4 linked regions of the Caenorhabditis elegans genome follow. The protein of the gene in region 3 purifies or fractionates together with the protein of the main gene of each other region. This does not show direct contact. Each region holds a gene or a part of one and is shown on either strand. Other genes may lie near its edges.

Region 1 (3,630 bases), on a different chromosome or scaffold from region 3:
TCTGCAATATTTATAGAAAAATCCGGCCAATGCTACGAAATTTCTGTTTTTCGCGGCTCTTTTGACTATTTCGTGACTTTTTTGGGGCTTCGATCATCAAAATTTCGAATATTTTTATGATTTTTGAGCATTTTGATGTATTTTTTTTCTTCTAAATGACTTTCAGATCTCCTTGGCAGAAAAAACTGCGAATATTATAACAACTTGAAGCTTCCTCGACGATTTTTGGCGACCTGCTGTTCCATGTGACTCACCATTCCAATTTCGCAATCCACTGGTCATTCTCGGCATTAAGATCCATTTTCAGCGCTCAATTTCGCAATTTTCAAAGCTAGAAAGCTTTGTTCAAATTGAATTGTTTCGCAACTCGTCTTCTATCGCCTTTTGGTTCTCTTTCTCCTCCGTCGTCTTCGCTGTGTTCTCTTCAAAATGATTCATCATTGGCTTTGGTTGTGTCTCTGGGTCTGTGTGTTCAATATAAATTGCAACTGCATTTGACATTAGTATGGATTGAGGCGGGTTATTTCACCCTCTTTTAGTAGTACACACACATTCAATTTGATGGGCGGTCTCTGTCTCTCTTTTCGTCCTTTATGGGTGAATAACTGACCAGCGGAGCAAGCAGGCAGGAGCAGGAGCACAAGCTCGTTGTTCGGGTTGAAAAGGGGAAGAAGGAGAGCACCAGATGGCATGCAAACATTCTCTTTCTCTTCTTCTCTCTATTGCTTTTCCTCACTGTCATTCACTGCTTCTCCATTTGCCCAGCCAATTAGATGGAGTGTTCCGGGTGGTCAAAGATGTCCTCTAGTTTTCGTAGCAATTTTCATCTTTCGGAATTTGAAATTGGAAGTTTTCTTTAATTTCTCTCAATTTTGGGTCATCTGGCGATTTTATGCCATTTTTCTTGTGAAATTAAATTCTCAGATTGCTCTAGATAGTTCAAATCCTCTAGTAGTTGAAAATTCGCCTCAAAACGTTGCTTTTTTAAAAAGAATTCTCCCTTAAGTTGGTCCTAATTTCTCGAGGCGAGATCTTCCAAAAGCTGAATTTTTCCAAGTTTTCTACATCTGAAACTCGAAATATTTACTATTTTCGTAGTTTTTGGTAGTTTTCGGTGTTTTCGAGCTTCAATTCCGCCTTTTTGGCCTGAAAATGGTCTGAAAATCATCGAAAATTGGTCAACTCTAGGTAAAATGCCAATTTTGGTTTAAATCGGCTCAATTCACAGAAAATTTCCAAGAAATTCATGAAAGAAGCTCAATTTTTGCACTACATTGGCGAGAAAATTGTGAATTTAGTGAGATTTTGTTGGTTTTTGTCATTTTATCCATTCGCAAGTTCTTCGCCACCAACTTACACCACAGATAAGCAAAAAATCTGCGGAAATATCAATTTTTGGGTATTTCGGCATTAAAATTCCATTTTTTGCGCAGTAAATCAAAAAATAATCGATTGTTTACAAAAACCGTAATTTTCAAGCGATTTTATGCTCTTTTTCTCCTAATTTGTGCTCTTTCTTCATATTATCATTTCTCATTACCCCTCCAACCATCTCAATCATAATTTATGTTTATTTTTTCAGTATAATCTCCGCTTCAACCTCCTCCAAAACACAAAAATGTCCGGATGGAATGCCTACATCGACACAATGACTGCCGCTGCTCCATCAATCAAACGGTGTGCAATCGTCGGAGCCGCTGATGGATCTGTCTGGGCTCGTACTGAGGCTGACAATGTGTTCAAGGTATGGAAATGGACGAAAATCATCGAAGAAGCTCGAGAAAAAATCGATTAAAACTGGAAACGATTGAAAAATCCTTAAATTGACCCATTTTTGAGATTGAAAAGAGCTAGCGGGGTCGATTTTTGTTGGAATTTTCGCATTTTGACCCAAAAAACTGAAAATCTCGCGAAATTATTCACTTTTTGAATTGAAAATCGAAATTTTTAGCCGCTGAATTTACATTTTACAGGAATAATTAGCAAATCCACTCAAAAATTGCAAAATTTTCATTATTTTTCGAACAAAATTAAAAAATTCCAGATTAGGCAGGCTTCAGGCGGCCGTGCCTGCCTACCAGCCCCTGTTTCTCATATAGTTTATACTTCTTCGAAACCCAAGTAGGCAGCAGACAGGCTTAGGCTACCTTGAAGGTCAGGCAAGTTACCTGCCTGACTACCTTCGAGGTGGCCTGCCTGATACCTACATTAGAGCCTACTTGTATTTCAGCCGCCTGAAGCCTGCCTACTCTGGAATTTTCTAAACTTTTTTTTTTCAGATTTTTCAATTTCATGAAAATTTAGAGTTAAAAAGCGTTAAAAAAAAAATTAAAATTCGAAGATTTTTTCCTGCAAAATGTAAATTCACAGACTGAAATTTGTGATTTTCCAGTATCTCGGCCAAGAATAAGCCGATTTTTTTGGAAATTTCAGTGTTTTGAGGCCTAAAAATGCGAAAATTGGGGAAAAAGGCTAACTTTAGGGTTACTGGATTTAAAATTTCGAATTTTTGGAAATTTCAAAGCGCAAATTTTTTAACAAGAAATATTTCCTGTCCAAAAACTTCTCTAATTTTTTCCAATTTCCAGGCATCCGAAGAAGAGCTCAAAACCTTCGTTGCCCTATTCAATGACGTCACTCAAGTTCCAGCAAAAGGAGCCGATATCGAAGGAGTTCATTACGTCGTTCCACGTACCGAAGAATCGCTCATCTTCGGAAAAAAGGAGAACACTGGATTCTTCGCTGTGAAGACCAAGTCTGCAGTCTTGATTGCTGTCTACGAGGGACCAAATGAAGTTGCTGCACAAGTTCGCAAGGCTGTCGAGAGTATGCAAACCTATCTCAACAATGCTGGATACTAAATACTTCTCTCTCTATCGATTGTTGTTCGATTCGTATTTATTCCCGCTTTTCTCTATTTTTTTTTTGCAAACTTCCCCCTTCTCCCTTCTCCCAAACCTTGATTTCTACGAGTACAACGATGAAATTCGGTTTTCTTCCGCGTAATCTTTCCCTCAAAACTCCCATTCCCAGAGCAAACACAGAAACAGTTTTTATTTCACTTTCAGCTTTATCATAATGTATTGTATTCCCCCGTTTTGTTTTCTAGTAAATTCATTGCCAATTCAATGCCTTCTCGATTATTTCATTTTCATCTCCCATCGACGGAGAAAGAGAGTGAGAGAAGAGTTTTGTGCTCGGAGCAATTATCGCGTGTTTTTTTCGAAACCACGCCCACACTGCAATTGTGCGGCGCGGTTTTTTGGTCAGAATCATTTTACAGATTTTTATCATCGTTTGCAAAAATCGTTTAGAGAAAAAAAACTCGGAAAAAGATGTCTAGAAAATGAGGGAAAAACAATTAAAAAGTAATCACATTTGTCAAATGAAATTTTCCACAATATCTTACGCGAATGGGTCTCGCTAGGCAGACAACACGGTTACTGTAACTCCTGTCGGTTTACAGTAACCTGTTGCCAGCGTGGCGAGACCCGTGGGAGTGAGATATGGCGGAAATTTTTATTTTTCGGCGTCTTCGTATTATTTTTTATGAGAAAACCCATAAGAGTACGTAAGAAAAAATGGCCGAAAGTTTAAGCTTTTCGAAAATATGGAATTTTTCTATATATC
Region 2 (2,787 bases), on a different chromosome or scaffold from region 3:
TTTGGATTAGCTGGTGATATGGCTTTGCAATCTGTTGAGACACTTTCTGGAGGTCAAAAGTCTCGATTGGCATTTGCTAATTTAGCCTTGATGCAGTGAGTTTTGCTTGAAAATAGCAACATTTTCAAAAAATATTCATTTTTTCCTAGAAAAAAAAATTTATTCAAACTCCGTCTAATTCATAGTATTTTTCAGGCCAAACTACTTGATTCTTGACGAGCCTACTAATCACTTGGATGTCGAAACGGTTGAAGCTCTTGGAAAAGCGCTTAATGTTTTCAATGGAGGTGTCGTTTTAGTTTCTCACGACGAGCAACTCATCGAGCTTGTGTGCAAGGAACTTTGGGTTGTGAAGGATCGAATGGTGACAACTTTGGAGGGAGGACTCGAAGAATACAGAAAGCAAGTCTACAAGCAGCTTCAACTCACTGCCTAAATTTTTCCTGTTTTGTTTCGCATTCGGTTGTTTCCCATATTTCACCCAGTTTCCACGTTTTGTTACACTATTTAAGAATTCAATTTATAATTTTTGTTGAGAAAAAAGTTTATTGCTTTATTAAATTGTTCACTTCAAAATTTAAGTATGAGTGAGAGCTCTAGCCTGGAAAATAATGCAAAGGTCTTCCTTGCTCGGGTCATCATGAAGAAGATACTCGAGTTGGTAAGGCTTATCGTTCTGAAATTGGGGGTTTAACTTTCGAAGAATACACATCAAAATAACCTTGAGAAGATTGATGATAGCTGGAGTATCAGAGAAGTCGAGTTCCAAATTGATGACCTTGTTTTTCGGTTCAATTGGGCATGGTACTCCGTTGGTACAAGCATCGATGTTGTTCCTGGAAAAGGTTACTGTAGGTTACTGTAAGAAGCAAAAATCTTACAAAAGTCCAAAAGTTGGTACTGAAGACCATCCACAAGTAGCCATATTCCATGACCAGACCTTGATAGTTTGTTTAAGTCCAGGAGTAGTATAAGTTGAGGATGGATCATTGATGGATGTTGCAATGAGAAGTGGTTCAGTAAGACGGATTGGATATTCACTGTTACCTGGATTCAATTATACATTCGTAGAAACTATCAGAAAACTTGCGAACCACTCTTATCAGTTGGATTAACATTGGTCACCATAACTGGTCCATTTGAGCATTGCCACCAGTTGACCTTTGTCTCTGTAGTATTCGGCCATTGATCGCATGCCGACGAGAGAGCAAGTAGGGCGAAGAGACACAGACAACGAGCAAGCATCTGGAATTGAAGTAGAATTTTTCGTTTCGAAAGCTAGTGGATGTGATCTAAGTTGGAATAAAATAGTGAATCTGTAATTGGTTAACTGGGAAATTTGAGAAAATGGAAAACTAAATTGCAAAATGATCATCAAATTCGATAGGAAAAACTACGATAAGAGAAATATCAAAGCACATGGCAATTTGAAGAAACCACGCGTTTTAATAGTTTTTTGCATGTAATTGTGATTCTAGAATAAAAAAGAGGTCACAGAGAACCGGAAATATCCACAGGAAGTACTCATTTTCATTGAAAAAATTTCATATGTATATTGAGTATTCCTGAGAAATGCACCTTTCGAAGTCTCGCCACGATTGAAAATTTTGCTCACTCGTGCTATGCGCCTTTAAAACTTGGGTACCATACATTTTTATTTTTCATTACTTTGTTCAGCAACTTTAGCTTTATCAGCGTCTTAATATTACGTAGACGTCAGAAGATGAGAGTTTCCGTCATAATTTACGCAAATGGGTCTCGCCACGCGGAAAGCGGGTTACTGTAACACGTGTCAATATGAAGGCCGCTACTGCACCATGTTTTTCTAATACAATGAATAACTGATTCCAAGCTTTTTAAAATAAAATTATGATACAATGGAGGCCTAAGAAATTGACGCGTGGTAAAGTAACTCGTTGTACTCATAAGATATGAAGAAAATTTTCATTTTTGACGTCTATGCGATTTTTATATTCTTCTTCTATTTTGATCATTAAATCCGATGAATTGAAGGAAAGACAAAGTTTTAAAAAACCTGTGCAAGCACGTATTCTTCATACTTCCAACTTTAGGTACTTATTGAAATTTCTCAGTTTTCAAACTATAACTGAATCGGGAAATTATTAATAATTTCTGATTCCTTGTTTACTTGTTTGATTTTTGGTTCATTGCCAAAATGGCAAATATGCAACATTTTCCAGTGCGAATAGTTCTTTTTTATCAAAATGTTATCGCAACTTTAGTTCGATTTCGGAAATTTTTCCTTCAAATTGATAATGAACAAAAACCAACAAAAAGTCAAGATTATGTACATTTTATTGTTGTTAAAATATACGCCCGTGTTATAGTGCAAATATAATTAGAAATCTTAAAGCCAATCGCCAAATGGGAAAGCATTTTACTTAAGGAAGGCCCAAGCCTGGACCATCATGCATGAGGTGTCTCCGGATTGGTTGTCGTGAAGGATGTACTCGAGTTGATATGGCTGATTGTCCTTGAGTAAGGCGATGATTTGGTCGAACTTGGTGAAGTCAATGATGACGTCAAGTTCTTGGTTTCCTGGACGGACTGGGCATGGGACTCCGTTTGCGCAGGCGTCAAGGTCCTTCCTGGAAGATGAATCGTTATTTATTATTTAGAAGTCGAGAATAGCCTAAACAGTTCACCCATTCTAATCCATTAGAATTAACTTAAAGATATAAACTTACAAAAGACCGAGAGTTGGGATTGAGCTCCATGTGCATCCGTTCCATCCTCCATACTTCCAGATATTGACGGTGTTACGAA
Region 3 (3,758 bases):
TTATAGTAGATGATATTTGAGGTGTTCAGTTGATTTCATTTTTCTCCTTTTTTCTAACCTTCCCGTTTAAACTGTGATATTGCTTCACGTCACCCAACCCCTCAATTATCCTCAAAAGTTCAACCACTCACCAAAACTATTATACACTTGCAAAAAATTAAATAGTTGATTGAATACTTTACACAACCTCACCAAGTTTATAATTATGGTTCCAGTAGCTGATAATTGGTTTTTCATTGACTTTATGTTCAGATGGATTCACTTTATAAACCCATTGAATGTATATAAAAACCTCGTCATTTATTATTTTCTTGTAAATGAGTTGGTGGTCGACCCAAAAAAGTCGTCGATTCAGCTCGAATAGTTCAGAACAATGCTCCGCGTGGGGTTGCCATTGTGGGTTGTCGAGAGTTTTGAAGGGACGGAGCAGAACAAAAAATGAATGAAAAGCAAATTGCAAGAGAGAAAATGTTGGGAAGGGAGATGTCAAGTTGCTAAGATTAGAAGCAGGAAATCGGTTGTGGAAAAGATTTGTTTTCGAATTTTGTTCCGCCTTGTGAAATTTCTGAAAGTTTAACCTACAATACTTATTTTAAAACAGTAGCAGGAGCAGCAGGAGTAGGAGTAGCTCCAGTTGGGGTGTTGTCAAAATATCTTCAACCTAGGTTAAAAATAATGAAAAAAATAAATACATTCTTTCAAGAGTTTTCACAATTTTCGTCGTAAATTTGGTAAATACCAATTTTTGAAAGATTTGGACTCATTGATAAACGTGCCTCATATGCTAAGCCTATTTGAATACAAATTGCAAACAAAATATAAAACTTGTAAAACATTTTTGGCAGACTTCCAAAACTATGATAGGTCAAAAGTAAGTATTTTCCACTCACTTGACTTAAAATTTTAAAGATGATTTTAGCACCATTGGAAGAAATTTGAAATAGTTTTTTAAAAAACTCAGTAGACATATCAAGTTTGAATATTCTAAAAACTTTTGAAATATTTTTTAATGATTTTCAGCATCAAATCTTTCAACGAGCGTTTAATTTTGGACGTAAAAATTCAATAGGTCCTCGGTCTAGACATAATATATGTATAGAAAAAACAATGTGATTTTAACGTCCAAAAAAGTTATTATTTTTGACGAGTTATCCTGTGGAAATTTTTGTAGAGTTGCAATTCTCATTACATTGAATAACTATTCTTGAACTTATCGTTCAAATATCTACTTTTTGTTTTACTGAAATAGATAGAAAATGTATCAATTGCAAAATGATCTCATCATGAAAAGACATGGAGTCAATGAAAAAGTGGGGAAACGGGATGAATGTACGTGACTTTTTTCAACTTCCTTTTCATTTGGATAATTAATTTTTTGTTTCAAAAGTTGTGACGAAAGCTCATAATCCTGGTGGGAAAATATGTGTTTTCGAAAATCAGGGAACATTTAAATATATTTTATTAATTTAAACATGTAACCAATTTTTCTGTTTCAAACATTTGATATTCTCGCCGTGCATTGAGTAATACACTTTTGATCTTATAATGCCTACGATAAAAAGTGTGTTTTACTAAAAGGAAAGGTCATGTGAAGAAATAATTATTCCTAAGTAAACGAAGAAATTGTGAGCACTGCCGACATTTACACTGAAATGAAGTTTATTATCAGAAACCTACCGTAATCCAGCCATAATTCTGTTGACTGTGTTTCGTGTTGCCGGGAAACTTTTTGACAGATTATAGATCGGAAGTCGCGTTTTTTGTTCCCAAGTTCGGTTTGCAGAAACTAGAAAATTTCACTGAATTCCTTTTAATGAATTGGTATCACAGATGAATTCCGGTTCAGATGCTCTCCTAAATCAGTTCCGAATTACCGATCAAATACTGATAAGAAGAAAAGGAAGGGCAGCACGTGAGCACTGAGCACTGGTACGAAGCTTTTCGACGTCAAGAACTAGAGAAAACCACAGAATCGGAAGATTGATAAGACATTGTAAAATGGTATATAAGGGAGACGTGCGGTAAAGAAGGCAGCTTATCGCTCAACTTCTTTCAACAAATATGGTAAGTCTTTGATTTCTAGTTAGGAAATTTCAAATAAAAATTACTTTCGATTTTTAATTTGGCATTCATCTTGACATTTCAGAAGTTCCTTATCCTTACCGCGCTCTGCGCAGTCACGCTTGCCTTTGTCCCAATCAATCATCAATCGGCTGTTGAGACCCTCACCGGTCAGGCTCTTGTTGATTATGTCAACTCAGCTCAATCTTTGTTCAAGACTGAGCATGTTGAGATTACCGAGGAGGAGATGAAATTCAAGCTTATGGATGGAAAGTACGCTGCTGCCCACTCCGATGAAATCCGTGCCACCGAACAAGAAGTTGTTCTCGCCTCTGTCCCAGCCACCTTCGATTCTCGTACCCAATGGTCCGAGTGCAAGTCCATCAAGCTTATCCGTGACCAAGCCACCTGTGGATCCTGCTGGGCTTTCGGAGCAGCTGAGATGATCTCTGACCGTACCTGCATTGAGACCAAGGGAGCCCAACAACCAATCATCTCTCCAGATGATCTTCTCTCCTGCTGCGGATCTTCCTGCGGAAATGGATGTGAAGGAGGATACCCAATTCAAGCTCTCAGATGGTGGGACTCAAAGGGAGTTGTTACTGGTGGAGACTACCACGGAGCTGGATGCAAACCATACCCAATTGCCCCATGCACATCTGGAAACTGCCCAGAATCCAAGACTCCATCTTGCTCAATGAGCTGCCAATCTGGATATTCAACTGCCTACGCCAAGGACAAGCACTTCGGTTTGTAAAAATTACATAGAATTGTGGAATAATTATATTATTTCAGGAGTCTCTGCCTACGCTGTTCCAAAGAATGCTGCATCCATCCAAGCTGAAATCTACGCTAATGGACCAGTTGAGGCTGCATTCTCTGTTTACGAAGACTTCTACAAATACAAGAGCGGAGTTTACAAGCACACCGCCGGAAAGTACCTCGGAGGACACGCCATTAAGATCATCGGATGGGGAACTGAGAGCGGATCTCCATACTGGCTTGTTGCCAACTCATGGGGAGTTAACTGGGGAGAGAGCGGTTTCTTCAAGATCTACCGTGGAGATGATCAATGCGGAATTGAATCAGCAGTTGTCGCCGGAAAGGCCAAGGTCTAAATGCATTATGTACACAATTTTTGTAATTACCATCTGCCAAATAAAAATGTTCATAATTTAAATTTGTTCTTAAATCTTCTGAAATATATATATCTTTATTAAAATTTACGAAGAGCAATTACAAAAGTGCATGAAATCAAAATTAATCTAGTCACATTATGAACAACTGACATCAAAAATTATTTCTTATTTGCTTCGGCGACAGTTGTACCGTTGAACCCTACCGTAGCTGGTGGTAAGTCGTGGAATGTGATAACAACCTGAAATTTTGAAATATCAATAATCCATTGTTTGATTAATAAAACATAACGAAATATTTGTGACTTAAATGTTTGACATAAACTACACTTACCTTATCTTTTGGAAGACCCAATTCCTTTCCACAAAACTCAGTGATGGCTGCCGTATTGCGAATATTGTCTTCAGCAGACACTGCTCCGATTGATTTGATCTAAAGAATTTATTATTGCGAGAATTTTGAACTTCTGCCAGAAAAAGGATGGTTTCATAAAGTTTTAATTTCCTTTCTAAGTGTAACAAGGAACTTAAATGTAGTTTTAAAGGTTTTGGTTTACCAAG
Region 4 (4,253 bases), on a different chromosome or scaffold from region 3:
ACAAACGACAACTGAGATATTAATTGTCAAAGTTGAACAATGGGATGCAAGACTAATAGAGGAAATATTACATATTAAAATTTTCGAGCTAAAAATATTTAAATTATGTCTATAGAAAGGTAACTTCATTTTAATTATAATAGAAACATTATCTGTCAAAAATGCAAAACTATTATGCAAAACTATTGTTAACGCCAAGAGTCGAAACTCCTATTAGATTACGGTCAGTGAGTTCAAATGAGGCTTCAAATGGTAACGTGAGAATTCGAAAGTTTCAAAATTAGTGAAATCAAAAGTATGAAGATAACTTCCGGGTATACTGTTTAAATTTTCAAAGAGGCTTAATGGTTACTGTAGACTCCCAGTGTAGCTAGAAGTTGTTTGATTTTTAAAACACTGTTGCAGCTGGCCTCACTGATGTCGATGGATACATCTTCCCTTGCCTAAAATCGACTTGCGCATCTGCTGCTAACCAAGTTAAGGCGTCTCTTGATGCAGTTAAGGCTGCTGGAACTAAGATCTCCACTCTATGGCTTGATATTGAACGTCTCAATTGGCCAGCTGATCATGCTAGCAACCGTGCATTCATTGAAGCAATGGTCAGTGAAGCAAAGGCTTATGGACAACAAGTTGGAATCTACAGTAACTATTACAATTGGCAAGATATTGTTGGATTGGATTATCATGGACAATCTAGTTTGATGCTTTGGTGGCCTGCATACGATGGAGTCAAGGATTTCTCAAAGTACGCTCCATTCGGAGGATGGTCGAAGCCAACAATTCATCAGTGGTCTGACACCACTACTGGTCCGTGTGGAGTCTCTGTTGATATGAACTACATTCCATAAATAATTTTTTAGCGCTTTAATAATAAAGTGTATATTTCAGTAAACAACATTCGTTCATTATTATGATTTATTCATTCCTTTAATAACGTTTGAGAATTGCTCCGAGCAATTCAAAGTAATCTGAAAAGCATCGAAAATTACTTGAAATTTAATAAGGAAATTCAGTTTTCGATGACTAATTTTTATTTTGAAACTACTAGAAAGTCTATTCCAACTTTTATAATAATTTCTGCAATAATTATTGAGGAATTCCTTAAGGAATGATACAGTACGCAAATGAGGCATGTACGTTATTATCAATTTTTGTGGAGTATTTCGTCAATTGATCACATTTTGATGCCATCGTCGGTAGCAGAAATCACGTGCAATCAAATAATGATAGACGAAGCAAAAAGGTTGATAATGTAGTCTAATGTGCGAAGTTCAAATTGCTAATCGAAAAATAAAACACATTGGGGAGTTGGGTTTTCAGAAAACTCGGTATATTTGAAATCATCTGAAAATCGGCTAATGACTTTTAATACAATTCCCGGTATTTTTTAGGAAGATGTACCGTCAAAGAGAATAAGTCATGAGCTCAAAAGCTTTCTAGGTCACAGCCGACCTGTGATCTGAAGCAGGGAACAAATCAAGAACATAATCACGTTTTCAAGCATCTAACTTTAAGCACCTTATGTTTTCTCAGCTTTTCACGCTTCCAAACAGATTAATTAAGTTATTTTCAATAAACTGTATAAACTTCAAAAAATTTACAGATAAACAATGAATTTCACAATGTTTGGATTGAAAAATTGATAATTTCTTTAGTGTTAATTTAGGCAACGCCAACAAACCACGCACAAGCCTGCTGCCGGGACCATTAGCTTGTAGAAATAATACAGTACTCGGGAGGGTCGAAGGTTTCAATTTTAGTTCTTTTGATCTCATTGTTGCAAATATTGAAAAACGACGAGAGATAACGGTCGAGAAACCCCGAGAAATATTTTCGAAAATGAGACGAAAGTGTAGTTGCTCTCCATATTTTGTTTCATATTTTACATCAGCCTCTGAATAAAACAAAAAAGATAAGAGAAGAGGGTTTATGAAGTTTTTGATTTTATCTTTCCGCTTGCGTCAAAGTCATAAAATTAGAATCTCCGGTATTTGGGAAGTATAAAAGAAGTGTGTGAAGGCTTAATCAGGGGAGTTCAGAGAATCATGAAGTTCTTCGTCTCGGCTTTGCTTTTGATCGGTGCTGCAAGTGCAGCTAGAAATGGAATTGATTTCATTCAACCAGTGTCTACTGCTACATTTCAATGTATTCATAAGGCTGGATATTCTTTCGTAATTCCAAGAGTCTTTACTTCTGTTGGAACTCTTGATCATACTGGAATTCAAAACGTCAAGAATGCTAGAGCAGGTGAGCATTTCAGATGGGTATCAAGGAATGGTTTTTACCATTTTCAAAATAATTTCCATTCTTGGCAATTTGGTTCTCCTTTCCCTCGCGATTCTTCGCCTCACACTTCTAACTTATAGGTCTGTGCATACTTCCTAGTATAAGTTATGAGTATTAAATTTGTAAGAAAATACTTAAACTAACAAAATCTTATCTCTTTTTCTTATTTCTTTTTGTTTGTTTAAAAACTGCCATCAAATAATTCAAATACACATATTCCCAAAAGTCAAGATGTAGTGGTCAATGAAATATCTTTTCGTTACGTTTTACAACCATTCATTGTCCCCTCTGACTGTCTAGTTTACCAGGGCATGCATTGTCACATGATTGTAAACAGAGTATGGAAAAATAATAATATTCAAATATATTTGTCAATAGGTTGAATATAGAATTCAAAATTTAAACTAATCTTGCTCTTTAATATGTTTTACAAGTATACATACAATGCATCTAGTGAGTGAAACAATATATTACCTCTTGAAACTAAAAAATGAAAAAAAAAATTACAGTTTCTTTCTAAGTATTATTGTCCAGAATAGCAGAAAATTCCAATTTAGGTGATGGTTCGACTGAAAATGTAATATGAATGTTCAAACTTGTAGGGACTACCACAATTATGCTTTTCTAAAAAATTAAACATTTTGGAAAAACTTCCAAAAGAAAAGTTTTAGGTGAAAATTTTTTCAACCATAACTAATCATATGATCCTTTTGAGCTGAATATTGAGACCGTAAGGGGGCCCTTATGATCACTTTAAGTTGGAATAATCAGATCATAAGGATGAGCTTTATAGTATTCCAAGTCAATTATAAGCATTGTACGGGTTCGAACATTCAAACTGATAATATTCCAATTTATTAAAACATCTGAAGTTTTCTACAAGTTTCATTCAGTACCAAGCTAATTACAAATTTTGCAGCTGGCCTCACCGATGTCGATGGATACATCTTCCCATGCTTGAGATCTAACTGCCCATCTGCTGCCAATCAAGTTAAGGAAACTCTTGATGCTTTGAAGAGTGCAGGAACTCATGTCTCTACTCTCTGGCTTGACATTGAACGTCTCGCTTGGCCAGCTAATCACGCCAGTAACCGTGCATTCATCGAGGCAATGGTCAGAGAAGCTCAAGCTTACAAGCAACAAGTTGGAATCTACAGTAACTATTACAATTGGCAAGATATTGTTGGATTGGATTATCATGGACAATCTAGTTTGATGCTCTGGTGGGCAACCTATGATGGAATTAAGGATTTCTCAAAGTTCGCACCTTTCGGAGGATGGAGCAGACCAACAATTCATCAATGGGAAGGAACCACTACTGGCCCATGTGGAGTCTCTGTTGATATGAACTATGTTCCATAAATAGCTGACCAAAATGTATAAACATGAATAAACAAATTTTTATATGTAAACCCATACATTTTCGCTAGTTTCAGACGCGCAATTGATTTCTTGATTTTTTGAAACAATTTAAAACTGTAAAACTGACAACAAATGGGTCAGTTTTAGAACATTCGAAAATTATGTTTTATTTTCAATAATTTTTTGTTACTTATTTAAAAAATTTATCATTATTGTTCGGAGACTTTAATTATATTCTCATTCAGAATTGTTTTCTATTTTTTTAAATCTAGACCTGTGAGTTTCAAGTGAGTTTCGGCCAAAATAGTAACATCAAAATGGCTTTACATTTCAAAAAGCAGATACGGTAAAACTTAAATTTTTGTTCTCTTTTCTTTCAAAACTATTATGTTGTTGATCTTCTAGACACGTTGTCAAGTCAAAATGCGTAGTGATGACGTCACTTGGGGTAACCTTGAATTACACAATTGACCTCAATCGAATCAAAATTAAAGTTGACGAGTACAAATATTTAGTCTTGTTTTTTTGTTTCTCCATCTCATTATCAACATTTCAACATGCAACTTCTTGCGATTTCTTTCTTATTTATAACTTTTATTATTGAA

The links.
Region 1: the proteins of cpr-1 (region 3) and pfn-1 fractionate together in Caenorhabditis elegans (co-fractionation; one large-scale study listed by BioGRID). This does not show direct contact.
Region 2: the proteins of cpr-1 (region 3) and F42A10.6 fractionate together in Caenorhabditis elegans (co-fractionation; one large-scale study listed by BioGRID). This does not show direct contact.
Region 4: the proteins of cpr-1 (region 3) and lys-4 fractionate together in Caenorhabditis elegans (co-fractionation; one large-scale study listed by BioGRID). This does not show direct contact.

The regions. Positions count from the first base shown.
Region 1 is NC_003279.8:12,920,422-12,924,051, forward strand, and holds pfn-1 (Profilin-1), read left to right. Parts: upstream 1-1,582; 5' UTR 1,583-1,618; coding exon 1,619-1,744; intron 1,745-2,588; coding exon 2,589-2,861; 3' UTR 2,862-3,127; downstream 3,128-3,630. UniProt on the Caenorhabditis elegans protein: Binds to actin and affects the structure of the cytoskeleton. At high concentrations, profilin prevents the polymerization of actin, whereas it enhances it at low concentrations. By binding to PIP2, it inhibits the formation of IP3 and DG.
Region 2 is NC_003281.10:6,175,617-6,178,403, forward strand, and holds F42A10.6 (MD-2-related lipid-recognition domain-containing protein), read right to left. Parts: upstream 1,246-2,787; coding exon 1,095-1,245; intron 1,048-1,094; coding exon 882-1,047; intron 837-881; coding exon 722-836; intron 677-721; coding exon 578-676; 3' UTR 541-577; downstream 1-540. Other genes in the region: abcf-3 (ABC transporter domain-containing protein), read left to right, coding at 1-95, 196-436; F42A10.7 (MD-2-related lipid-recognition domain-containing protein), read right to left, coding at 2,399-2,609, 2,709-2,787.
Region 3 is NC_003283.11:11,973,519-11,977,276, forward strand, and holds cpr-1 (Gut-specific cysteine proteinase), read left to right. Parts: upstream 1-2,032; 5' UTR 2,033-2,061; coding exon 2,062-2,064; intron 2,065-2,146; coding exon 2,147-2,810; intron 2,811-2,856; coding exon 2,857-3,179; 3' UTR 3,180-3,238; downstream 3,239-3,758. Other genes in the region: MIF-like protein mif-2, read right to left, coding at 3,359-3,439, 3,532-3,630. UniProt on the Caenorhabditis elegans protein: Thiol protease. Has a role as a digestive enzyme.
Region 4 is NC_003282.8:11,620,891-11,625,143, reverse strand, and holds lys-4 (LYSozyme), read left to right. Parts: upstream 1-1,969; 5' UTR 1,970-2,045; coding exon 2,046-2,247; intron 2,248-2,838; exon of another isoform or gene 2,839-2,859; intron 2,860-3,205; coding exon 3,206-3,648; 3' UTR 3,649-3,715; downstream 3,716-4,253. Other genes in the region: lys-5 (Lysozyme-like protein 5), read left to right, coding at 406-848; dsl-5 (Delta-like protein), read left to right, coding at 4,206-4,253.